Macaca mulatta: one gene and its partners. The protein of the gene in region 2 binds, or shares a complex with, the protein of the main gene of each other region. Links are inferred from orthologs where the notes say so. Each region holds a gene or a part of one and is shown on either strand. Other genes may lie near its edges.

Region 1 (3,793 bases), on a different chromosome or scaffold from region 2:
GGGGCCTCCAGAGGAGACTGGGGCCTCTAGCATCCTTACCTTCCCCAGCCCTTCCTTTCTCCATGTCCACCACACTGAGGGGTGGCTGTCAATCAGCCCCCTGATAATGAGGGTCCCAGTGAGTCCTTCAAGAATGGCCTCAGCTCTAGGGGACCTAGCCTTCTCCACTCCTGACCTCCCAGCACCAGACCCAGAAGCAGGGAAGTGAGAGCAGAGGGAGGGGCTGTCAGCCTCCGGGGCAGGGAGGAGACTGCGGGCAGAGGGGCTTCCCTTACCTAGCACCACGATGTCTATTTTGAACTCCACCGTCTTCTGGTCCTGCGAGACGGTGCATGTCCAGGTGCCACTATCCTGGCGCTCCAGCTGAGGCACAGAGAGGGTCCTCCCCCCCTGTATGTTTTTACCCCCTGGACTCCTACATTTCACTGAGGGGCTACTACCAGGGGGGCTCTCCAAGGTCAGGGTCAGGCTTTGCCCCTCAAGCAGGTGGGTGTCAGAGTTGGCAGTCACTGTGGAGGGAAAGGCCAGCTGTGTCACACACATACCATCCCCAAGGAGAAGGGCAGAGGACAGGAAACCAAGAACATCTCTCCATTATCTCCATCCCAACATCTCCTTCCTCCCAGCACCCAGCTGCCCACCCCCAGCCAAGACAGGGTTTCCCTCTCCCCTCCTCTCTCTCTTCTTTCCTCCTCTCCCCTCATCCTCTCTTCCCCAGTCTCTCTCTCTCCTTCCCTTGCTTCCTTCCCTTTTCTTTCCTTTTCCCAAGGCCTCTTCCCTCCTCCGCCCACCACCATCCTCCACCTAATCAAAAGGGCTTTGAAGAGTTCGGAGGCCAGTTTGACAGCCTGGTCCTCTTGGGGCTGCTGCGGTATCACCAGCTCAGGCTGGATTTGGTGCAGGGGTGGGAGTAGTGGGGAAGAGAACCAGCCAGGAGGTATCCTCGTCCCCACCTGCCCCACTCACATCCGAACACCAGCAATTCCACCTCCTCCTTCTTGTTCTCCACTTCACAGATGTAAGTATCTGAGTCTTCTATCTTAAGATTCTTGATGATCATGGAAAAGCATCCTTGGTCCCAAAGGCTTTTTCTTGAGTCAGCACGATCGCTCAGCTTGGATGGACCTGGGAGCAGAAGACAAATGGGAGAGGCTGAGGTGCCTTGGAGACATGGCACCTCTGGCAAGAGAATGCCCACAGCTCTTCTGATCTCAATTGCTAATTTCCTGCAACATCTGCTCCTCATTCTAATCAGAGAAACCCAGTCTGGTAAGGAGGTCTCATCATATCCATTTACCTGGCTGGGACAGTGGCTCACAAATACAAATAAAATCATATCCTTATTTGGAGAGCACCAACTCCTACATGCCAAATACTTTACATGCATCATCTCAGTAATCTCCACAATAATTCCAAGAAATAGATATTGTCAACACTGTTTTGCTTATTTTATAGATAGAGAAACTGAGACTCACACACTGAGATTAAGTAATTACCCAACTCTCACACATTGTAGGAGAAGAAACCAGTACAATTTCTTTGGAGGGTGATTTGTACTATATATCAGAATTACAAATGTATATACAAAGCGAAATGTCCATCAATAAAGAATAGGTTAAATAGCTCATAGCTCACCCATTCAGTGGATTGCTATGTAGCCGGAAGAGAGGAAGAGGAAGTGCTTTGTATACTGATTTGGAACCGTATCTAAGAAACATCACTAACTGAATAAAGCAAGGTATTAAACAGTCTACTATTTGTTTTTAAAGGGAGAGAAAATATATTCTTTGTATATGAAAAGAATATTTCTCGAATTAAACATAACAAAATGAGGCCATTAAAAAGAGTTATAACGTCTAAAAAAAAATTAAAAAAGAAAGAAACTGAGGCCAGGCATGGTGGAAATCTCTCATCCCAGCTCTTTGAAAGATCGAGGTGGAAGGATTGTTTGAGCCCAGGAGTTCGAGATCCGCCTGGGCAACATGGCGAAACCCCATCTCTAAAAAAAAAAATTTTTTTTAATTAGCCGCCTTAGGAGGCTGAGGTGGGAGGATCGCTTGAGCCCAGAAGTCAAAGGTTGCTGTGAAACAAATGAGATGGCACCAATGCACTCCAGTCTGGGTGACAGAACGAGACTAAGAAAAATTAACTGGGTGTGGTGGTGCATACCAGTAGCCCCAGCTACACCGGAGGCTGAGGTGGGAGGATCACCTGACCCGGGAGGTCGAGGCTGCAGTGAGCTATGATCGTGCCACTGCACTCCACCCTGGGCGACAGAATGACACCCTGTTTAAAAAGAAAAAAAAAGAAAAAAAAAAACTGGGAGGCTGAGGCACAAGCATCGCTTGAGACTGGGAGGCAGAGTTTGCAGTGAGATCGAACCAATGCACTCCAGCCTGGGTGACAGAGTGAGACTGTCTCAAAACACACACACACACACACACACACACACACACACACACACACACACACAGATAACCTTGGTTGCCTCTAGGAAGAGGAAGTGAATACTCATGTGTAGGAAGAAAGCTTTTCACTATATGCCCTTTGCTTTTTTTTTTTTTTTTTTTTTGAGATGGAGTTTCGCTCTTGTTGCCCAAGCTGGAGTGCAATGGCACGATCTTGGCTCACTGCAACCTCCGCCTCCCAGGTTCAAGCACTTCTCCTGCTTCTGTCTCCCGAGTAGCTGGGATTACAGGCATGTGCAACCAAGCCCAGCTAATTTTGTATTTTTAGTAGAGACAGAGTTTCTCCTTGTTGGTCAGGCTGGTCTCGAATGCTCAACCTCAGGTGATCCGCTCACCTTGGCCTCCCAAAGTGCTGGGATTAGTGAGCCACCACACCCAGCCTGCTTTCTTTTTGTTTGTTTGTTTGTTTTTATGGAGTTGAGTGTTGGATCTCTGCTCACTGTAACCTCTGCCTCCTGAGTTCAAGGGATTCTCCTGCCTCAACCTTCGGAGTAGCTGGGATTACAGGTGTGCACTACCACATCTGGCTAATTTTTGTATTTTTAGCAGAGACAAGTTTTCCCACATTGCCCAGGCTGGTCTCGAACTCCTGACCTCAAGCAACCCGCCCACCTCAGTCTCCCAAATTGCTGGGATTGCAGGTGTAAGCCCCTGCGCCCAGCGTATATGCCCTTTTCTGCGTTTTGAATTTTGACTCCCCTAAGTGGTGGAGCTAGGATTAAAATGCAGCCTGTCAGGAGTCTGGGACCAACCTGGGCAGCAAATAGACACCCTCATCTCTAAAAACAATTATTTTAAAAGAATTAGCTGGGAGTGGGTGCCTGTAATCCCAGCTACTTGAGAGGCTGAGGCAGGAGGATTGCTTGAGCCCAGGAGTCCAAAGTCACAGTGAGCTATGATTGTGACACTGCACTCCAGCCTGGGCAACAGAGGCCTCATCTTAAAGAAAATAAATTTTTGGCCGGGTGCAGTGGCTCATGCCTGAAATCCCAGCACTTTGGGGGGCCAAGGCAGTGGATCACTTGCGGTGACGAGTTCAAGACCAGCCTGGCCAACATGGTGAAACCCCATCTCTACTAAAACTAGAAAAAAAAAAATTAGCTGGCACATGGTGACGCATGCCTGTAATCCCAGCTACTTGGGAGGCTGAGGCAGGAGAGTTGCTTGAACCCGGGAGGCGGAGATTGCAGTGAGCCGAGATCACGCCACTGCACTCCAGCCTGGGTGACAGAGTGAGACTCTACCTCAGAAAAAAATAAAAATAAAAAATGTTTTTAAAAATAAAAATAATTCAGGCTGTTTCACTATGCAATGCTATCTCTGGA
Region 2 (3,793 bases):
AGAACTAAACAGCCATGGCCAGAGTTAGGGGATGCAAGCCCACAGGTTAAATCCAGCCAGAGTATGGCCCACAGATCCACTTTGGATTGGCCCTAGAATGGTTTTGTTTATTTATTCATTTAATTAATTTATTTAATTTATTTATATTTATTTTTGGGATGGACTCTCACTCTGTCGCGCAGGCTGGAGTGCAATGGCATGATCATGGCTCACTGCAACCTCTGCCTCCAGGGTTCAAGTGATTCTCCTGTCTCAGCCTCCTTAGTGGCTGGGACTGCAGGTCCCACCACTACGCCTGGCTAATATTTTTGTATTTTTAGCAGAGGTGGGGTTTCACCATGTTGGCCAGGCTGGTCTCGAACTCCTGACCTTGTGATCTGCCCACCTCAGCTTCCCAAAGTGCTGGGATTACAGGCATGAGTCACCGTGCCCAGCCCCTAGAGTGCTTTTAAACAATTTGACTCGATCGCCAATAAATGGAAATGAACAAATTTTCCTAAAACTCCAAGTTTTGGCTTCTCTTAAAAAAAAAAAAAGATCTAGTTTTTCAGGTCCCCCACGCCTTAATTGCAACCATCTGCTGGAGCAGCTGCAAGTTTACCAAGGTCCCCATTTCTCCCCATTGTCTCCCTGACCCTAATGCTACATGTCAGTTTCCATTTATCATCATGCTTTCACTGCCTATTTTCTTCTAATAGATACATTCCCTATGGGTTTCCTTCTGTGGGAATAGGCGAGGAGCAGTGAGGACCCCTGGCAGGATAACTGGAGAGTATTTCCATATTTCCAGCTCCAGCACTACCCCTGGACTCTGGGTTGGGGCAAGCCCAGGGCAGGGAAGCCCCTCAGCTTTTCACCTGTCTCCAAGGTGTTTTTTTGTTTTTGTTTTTGTTTTGAGACGGAGTCTCGCTTTGTCGCCCAGGCTGGAGTGCAGTGGCACGACCTCGGCTCACTGCAACCTCTGCCTCCCAGGTTCAAGCAATTCTCCTGCCTCAGCCGCCTGAGTATCTGGGATTACCGGTACGCACCACCAGGCCTGGCTAATTTTTAATTTTGTTTTTTTTAAGTAGAGATGGGATTTCACCATGTTGGTCAGGCTGGTCTCAAACACCTGACCTTGTGATCCACCAGCCTCGGCCTCCCAAAGTGTTAGGATTACAGGCGTGAGCCACCACATCCGGCCTTCCAAGGTGTCTTTACCTTCCTTGGAGCAAAGGTCTGTTCACCTTACTCTGGGGATGTGGGACGCTTCTACAAATTTAGCCACTGTGCCGCGCCTCCCTACTCCGTTGTCTTTGTGCTCCATTTCCTCTCCCCAGAGTTTCTTAGCAAGTTCCTTTCAAAAAATTCCATCCCTGTCTTGGCTGAATTCAGGGGTAAAGGGCTTTGTCCAGGAGATGGTGAGGGAGTCAGTGTATACTGACAACCTACTATGAGTCAGGCTCTTTCACAAATGGTCTCTCATTTTTCCTTTTTTTTTTTTTTTTTTTTTTTTTGAGACAAGTTCTCTCTCTGTTGCTCAGGCTGGAGTGCAATAGAACGATCATGGCTCACTGCACCCTCAACCTCCTGGGCTCAAGCGATCCTCCCACCTCAGCCTCCCAAAAAGCTGAAACTACAGGTGTGTGCCACCATGCCCAGCTAATTTTTAATTTTTTTTTTGGGGGGGGGGAAGAGATGGAGTCTCTCTTTTTCTTTTTTTGAGGCAGGGTCTTGGTCTGTTGCCCTAGGCTGGAGTGCTATGGCATGATCTTGGCTCACTGCAACCTCTCCCTCCCTGGCTCAGGTAATCCTCCCACCTCAGCCTTCTGAGTAGCTGGGACTACAGGCACATGCCACCAAACCTGGCTAATTTTTGTTTTTGTAGAGATGGGGTTTCGACCTGTTGCCCAGGCTGGTCTCGAACTTCTGGGCTCAAGCCATCCTCCCACCTTGGTCTCCCAAAGTTCTGGGATTATAGGCATGAGCCACTGTACCTGGCCTAGTCTCTTATTTTTAATATCAGGAAACTGAGACTCAGAGAAGTGAAGTGACTAGTTCAAAGTGATGATTGATAATAGCTTAGTATTGACCAAGCACTGTTCTAATCTCATATTAGAAATGAGAACAGATGGGAAAGAAGGAATGATCTGAACAAAGCCAAACAGAAAGTTAGCAACAGTGGCAGATCTGCTAATAAAAGGTAGGCCTCTTGTTTCTGAGCTAGATCCTCTTCTACCATACTAGGCTGCCTGGGCCACAACTAAAGAAAAGAGCTGGGGCCGGGCGCGGTGGCTCATGCCTGTAATCGCAGCACTTTGGGAGGCCGAGGCGGGTGGATCACGAGGTCAGGAGATTGAGACCATCCTGGCTAACATGGTGAAACCCCGTCTCTACTAAAAATACAAAAAACTAGCCGGGCATGGTGGCACGCACCTGTAATCCTAGCTATTTGGGAGGCTGAGGCAGGAGAATTGCTTGAACCCAGGAGGCAGAGGTTGCAGTGATCCGAGATGGCGCCACTGCACTCCAACCTGGGCGACAGAGCTAGACTCCACCTCAAAAAAAGAGAAAAAGAAAAGAGCTGGGGTTATTAAAGAGAGATACAGAGATGGAAGCCAGCTCTGGGAGATGTGGCATCTGCCTTGGGATGTTGGAGTCATACCCCTGAAAGGATAGAGGAGATGCAACTACAAAGTTTCAGATTCTGAGACTGGAAAGAATTGAGTGGGGAGACATGGACTTGCTGCCCTTCCCATCACCCTTTCAGTTCCTGCCCTTGGCTCTAACCTGGGTAAGGGATGCGGCCATGGGTGACAATTTCCGTCAGCAGGATCCCAAAAGACCACACATCCGACTTGATGGTGAATGTCCCATAGTTAATGGCTTCTGGCGCTGTCCACTTAATGGGAAACTTGGCTCCTAAGGAGGAGGCAGAGTGAGGTCACCTGGGTCTGCTTGGCTAGACCCTGCAGGGCCCAGATCACCCTTAAATCTCACACTTACCCTCCCTGGCTGTGTACTCGTTGTCTTCAATGAGGCGTGCTAGGCCAAAGTCTGCAATCTTGCAGCTCAGGGTGTCAGACACCAGAATGTTGGCAGCCCGAAGGTCACGATGAATATAATTCCGCTCTTCAATGAATGCCATGCCTTCTGCAATCTGCAGGACAAACACAGATCAGCAATCCTGAGCCAGATGTCTTCACGCCACTGGCCTGTGCCCTTGCCCAGCCCCTCCCCAGTCTTCTTACTTGGGCTGCCATGTCCAGGAGTTTGTTGATGGTCAACTTGATGCCTGAAGAGGTCTTGAGAAAATCCACTAGACTCCCTGTGGGCAGAAGCAAGAGTTGCTGGCCTAAGTTGCCCCAGGAGGAGGTCCCCAGACCCTTCTCCCAGACCCTTTTCACATGTCTGGAAGTGTGTCTGACATGTGAAAAGGAAGAGTGAAGAGTGAGAATGGAGGAGTGTGTGTTCAGGGTAAGGATGCCCAGGATATGTGAAGGTTTTTTTGCAGAGGGAGGGGCTAGGGTAGAGCACGCTGGGAGGGATCTGTAGGTTTTTCATCATCAATAAGGTAGAATTCAGACTCCTCAACTAGTATCCAAAGCTTGACATGGGCGACACTGGTAGCTTCTTCTCTTTCCCTCACTCTGCCTTTGACTTCAAACACTTTAACAATTTTGAGATCCTGCACTCAGACTACTAGGCTGTCACCCCAAAGCCTCTTTATTTCATCTCTGCCTGCTAAAAAAAATTCTACTTTTCTTTCATGGCCCAGTTAGACTGCCCCTCTAGGAAGCCTCTCTAGATCTTA
Region 3 (3,793 bases), on a different chromosome or scaffold from region 2:
CCCTCTTGTGTTCACTGACGACACCAAAGACGCCGACATTTAGGAGCGGGCCCGGGACCTCTCAACCGCCCCACCATCCCAGGCACGTCTCTCCACCTCAGGACTCGGTTTCCCACCACTTGGATAGCCCTTGACCTACAGTATCAGGGCTCCCCTTGGCATGGGCTCTCCCCGCGGTCCGTGCCGCCCCCGCCCCGAGCCCCCGCACGCCTCACCTGAGCCCCCCGCCGCTGGCCGGCACGCCTCTGGGCGCAGGGACAGGGGCTGCGACGCGGTGGTGGGCGCCGGTGTGGGGGGTCGCGGCGCTGGCGTAGTGGTGGGCTTCGCTGCAGGGGCAACAGAGCGTGGTTGGGGGCCAGTCTGGGATTATGGACGCGCCCCCGCCCCGGCCCCAGCCTCGCGCGCCTTTGCCCACGGGAACACCTCCCCCCGGTTTTCCTGGGAGAAGGGATGGCAGAGGAGACGGGATGGGTACCCCGGAATGCGCGCGGACCCCTGTGCTCGGGCCTTGGCTTAGCCAAGCGCACGCGGCGCCCGGCCCGAGCGTAGGAGCCCGCTCCCCTGCACCTGTCCTCTCTCCCGGGCAACCAGCAACCCTGGAGCGCGGGTTGATTGCTGTCCGCATTTTACCCACGAACAAACGGAGGCGTAGAGAATTTAAGTCATTTGCCCAAAACCACACAAGCATCCGAACTCGAGCCCAGATCGGCCGGACGTAAAACACTATTCCTAGTCCCTACTCAGCCGCACGTTAGCCTCAGTTTGCTGTGTCTGTGAAATGGGAACAATATCTAAGTCTCTTCCAGGTGCCCTAAGAGGCTTGAAAGCAGGACCTGTGTGTGGAAAACAGGTTGAGGTGAACCCCAAGCCCCACGCGGAGAGGTGCCGCACCCCGCGCCCGGACCTGGCAGGAAGACCGGCACGAAGTGGCTGAAGTACATGATGGAGTTGCTCAGGGCCGAGCAGAAATAGTAGCCCTCGTTCTCTTGGCGGAAGTCACGTAGGGTGAGGACGAAGGTGTCCCCCAACCTCTTGCCCGAGAACCGCTGGGTGTCCAGCCCCTCCGCCGCCTTGGGCTTGTTTTGGGAGAGGTATAGGAGGAAGGTGGGGCGGGCGGCGGTGCCGCGCGGCTGGAAGAGCCACGAGCAGCCCGACGTCGGGTTGGACAGCAGCACCTGGCACTTCAGCTCCACCGTCTCTCCCAGGTTCCAGGTCCGACCCAGCGGCGACACTCGGAACTGGTTTGGCCTGGCGGCGTCTGCAGGCAGCAGGAAGCGAGGCTGAGCCCCGAGTCCCGCGCCCCCCGCCCGCCCCATCCCCTGCCTTTCCGGGGGTCGCAAACTCACGGAGCAGCAAGACCAGCGGCAGGAGCAAGGCGGTCACGGGTGGGGCCATGACGCGCTCCCCAGGACGCGGCTCGGCTCGAAGCTCGGGCGCCACGGGAGGCGCGCGGGAGCCGGTGGGGAGCGGAGGGGGGGAAGTTGCGCCCTTCGGCCGGCCTGGAGCCTGATTTCGCATTTGGAGGATGTGATGTCACCCGAAGCCCCCGCCGAGGAAAGTCACCCTCCTTTTCGCGGTTGTCGCCTTCCAGCCCGGTGAGGAGGCTGGGGCCTGTGAATGGGCCCGTCGAGGCAGCCTGGTCAGGCAACTGGGGGCAGCTGAAAACTGCAGGTTCGGGGATGAGGAAAAGGGCTTGGAAATAGTCCCTGGAAATGGTTGTGTTAGGAGAGTGACAGAGTGGGTGAAGGGAGATCAAAGATTTCAAGAAGTGAGGGCGAGAGTCGGCAGGAAAGGAGGGGAGTGTCCCTTCCTTTGCCTTCACTAAAGGCGTCTCTTATACTGTCACCCTTTTTGTTGGCAAAATGGGCACTGAGGGCTGAAAAGGAAGAGGAGCTAGCCACCTGCCCGCTTCTCAGGAACTCGCGCAGAGCAGCCCCAGTGTTCACCGAGGAAGGGCCCTCTCCCTTCCCCCAGGAAATTTCCATGAGGGCGGCAGCAGCCGAAGCTTTGGGTGGCAGTGTCAGTGCGCTGCTGACCTCATCCTTCCGGCCTTTCATCCAGCGGCTAAACTCACCAAACAGTCGCATCTCTTCTTGGAGTCTTTGCAACAGCCCCCACACTAGTCTCTCTCCTGACCAGTCCTCCAGCCACGTTGTTATAAAAATTATTATTCTCATAAAGGGGATCTAACAGCGTCACTCCTGCAGCCTCCCATGGCCTGCATTGCTGGATGGAAACTCAACCCTCAGCTTGGTTGACCAGCCCTTGGGTGCTGGCTCCTCCCAGCCTCCGCACAGCCCCCTGCCCTGCCTTTCCCAAACACCTGCAGCTGCAGCTGCAGCTTCACAGGCTTGAGGTTATTCAACCCCTGCGCTCTGTGCTTTCACGCCCTTGCACTTGCTGTAGATCTGCCTGGAATGCTGGTCTGTGAAAGCCCTGGAGGCAGCTCCTGTGCAGTCTCATTTGGACCTCATTTCTTTCACCCCCAGCTCTGGGCGCTCGGCGGGGAGGTGTGGGTGACGTGGGTGAATGCTTGGGTAGAGGCAGTTTTCTCTCTTCTGTCCCTAGCACACATGTGTCCCCTTCCTTTCTGTTTCTTTCTTTCTTTCTTTCTTTTTTTAAAGACTGGAGTCTCGCTGTTTTACTCAGGCTGGCCTTGGGACTCCTGGGCTCCAGTGATCCTCCTGCCCCAGCCTCCTGAGTAGCTGCGACTACAGGCTCATCCTTCCTTTTTGCCTGTTTCTGTCCTGAAACCTTCTAACCCCAGTGGCATGCCCTCTTCCCATTTCTTCCGGGCTTCTGAATCTTTCCACTTTGAATCCCACTGTGGCTGCACCTCACATTACTACTGCTTGATCCTAGAGACAAGACACCTGGCATTCTGTGTTCCAAATGTCTGTCTGCCCCACCTATGAGTTCTGCTGGGTGAGGACCATGCCCCAGACTTCATGATGTGTCCTCCATCCCCAGAAACACAGCATGGGCTGAGCTGTGCTTGTTGAACTACACTCTCCTTATCCTTGTGAGGCCCAAACTTAAGTGTTGGATGGTTTTCTGTTGTTGTTGTTGTTGCTGTTGGTTGGTTGTTTTTTTGAGATGGAGTCTGGCTTTGTTGCCCAGGCTGGAGTGCAGTGGCACGATCTCGGCTCACTGCAGCCTCTACCTCCCAGGCTCGAGTGATCCTTCCACCTCAGCCTCCCAAGTAGCTGGGACCACAGGAGCGCACCGCCATGCCGGGCTGAGTTTTTGCATTTTTGGTAGAGATGGGGTTTCACCATGTTGCCCAGGCTGGTCTCCAATACCTGAGGTCAAGTACTCTGCCCCGCCTTGGCCTCCAAAGTGTTGAGATTACAGGTGTGAGCCACCATATCGGGGCCTGGATGGGCTTTTTTTTCTTTTTTTAATTATTTGGATTTCAGTACCTCCTTCCAGCTCCCTCAAAGCATCCAAGATGCTTATTCTAACATGGAACATGTAACGTTTTATATTCTGAAATTTAAAAAAATGTCTTTTAAGTGACAACAGCGCAATATATTATTGTACAAAAACAAACACAAAGTCCCCTGTCTCAACTCCCATCACTGTCATCTGCTCCCCACAGAAAACCACTGTTACGGTTGAATGTGTCCCTCAGATATTATCTGTACCTAAACAGATGTTTATACATCATCTTAGACACGTGGGATTGTATAAGATATGTATTTTTGCAAGATATCTTGTTTCACAGTGGAAGGAGAGCTTTCAGCAGATGTAGATCCACCTCATTCTTATAAATGGGGGCATTTTATGTGGG

Evidence for each region. The genes of interacting proteins can lie anywhere in the genome.
Region 1: the proteins of LCK (region 2) and CD4 are in contact, whole or in part, in an NMR structure (PDB 1Q68), measured with the Homo sapiens proteins. The link is inferred for Macaca mulatta from reciprocal best matches to the Homo sapiens genes LCK and CD4. Residues at the interface, in NP_001036236.1 of Homo sapiens: Glu15, Ile17, Val19, Cys20, Asn22, Cys23, Tyr25, Pro26, Ile27, Val28; in NP_000607.1 of Homo sapiens: Ala429, Arg431, Ile435, Leu438, Leu439, Lys443, Thr444, Cys445, Gln446, Cys447.
Region 3: the proteins of LCK (region 2) and CD8A are in contact, whole or in part, in an NMR structure (PDB 1Q69), measured with the Homo sapiens proteins. The link is inferred for Macaca mulatta from reciprocal best matches to the Homo sapiens genes LCK and CD8A. Residues at the interface, in NP_001036236.1 of Homo sapiens: Cys20, Asn22, Cys23, Tyr25, Pro26, Ile27, Val28; in NP_001139345.1 of Homo sapiens: Arg212, Arg213, Val214, Cys215, Lys216, Cys217.

Annotation. Positions count from the first base shown.
Region 1 is NC_133416.1:7,776,624-7,780,416, reverse strand, and holds part of CD4 (T-cell surface glycoprotein CD4), read right to left. Parts: intron 1,126-3,793; coding exon 967-1,125; exon of another isoform or gene 805-966; intron 510-804; coding exon 276-509; intron 1-275. UniProt on the Homo sapiens protein: Integral membrane glycoprotein that plays an essential role in the immune response and serves multiple functions in responses against both external and internal offenses.
Region 2 is NC_133406.1:208,598,268-208,602,060, forward strand, and holds part of LCK (tyrosine-protein kinase Lck), read right to left. Parts: intron 3,308-3,793; coding exon 3,231-3,307; intron 3,140-3,230; coding exon 2,986-3,139; intron 2,902-2,985; coding exon 2,770-2,901; intron 1-2,769. UniProt on the Homo sapiens protein: Non-receptor tyrosine-protein kinase that plays an essential role in the selection and maturation of developing T-cells in the thymus and in the function of mature T-cells. Plays a key role in T-cell antigen receptor (TCR)-linked signal transduction pathways.
Region 3 is NC_133418.1:26,243,729-26,247,521, reverse strand, and holds part of CD8A (T-cell surface glycoprotein CD8 alpha chain), read right to left. Parts: intron 1,612-3,793; 5' UTR 1,519-1,611; coding exon 1,347-1,518; intron 1,259-1,346; coding exon 905-1,258; intron 327-904; coding exon 216-326; intron 15-215; coding exon 1-14. UniProt on the Homo sapiens protein: Integral membrane glycoprotein that plays an essential role in the immune response and serves multiple functions in responses against both external and internal offenses. In T-cells, functions primarily as a coreceptor for MHC class I molecule:peptide complex.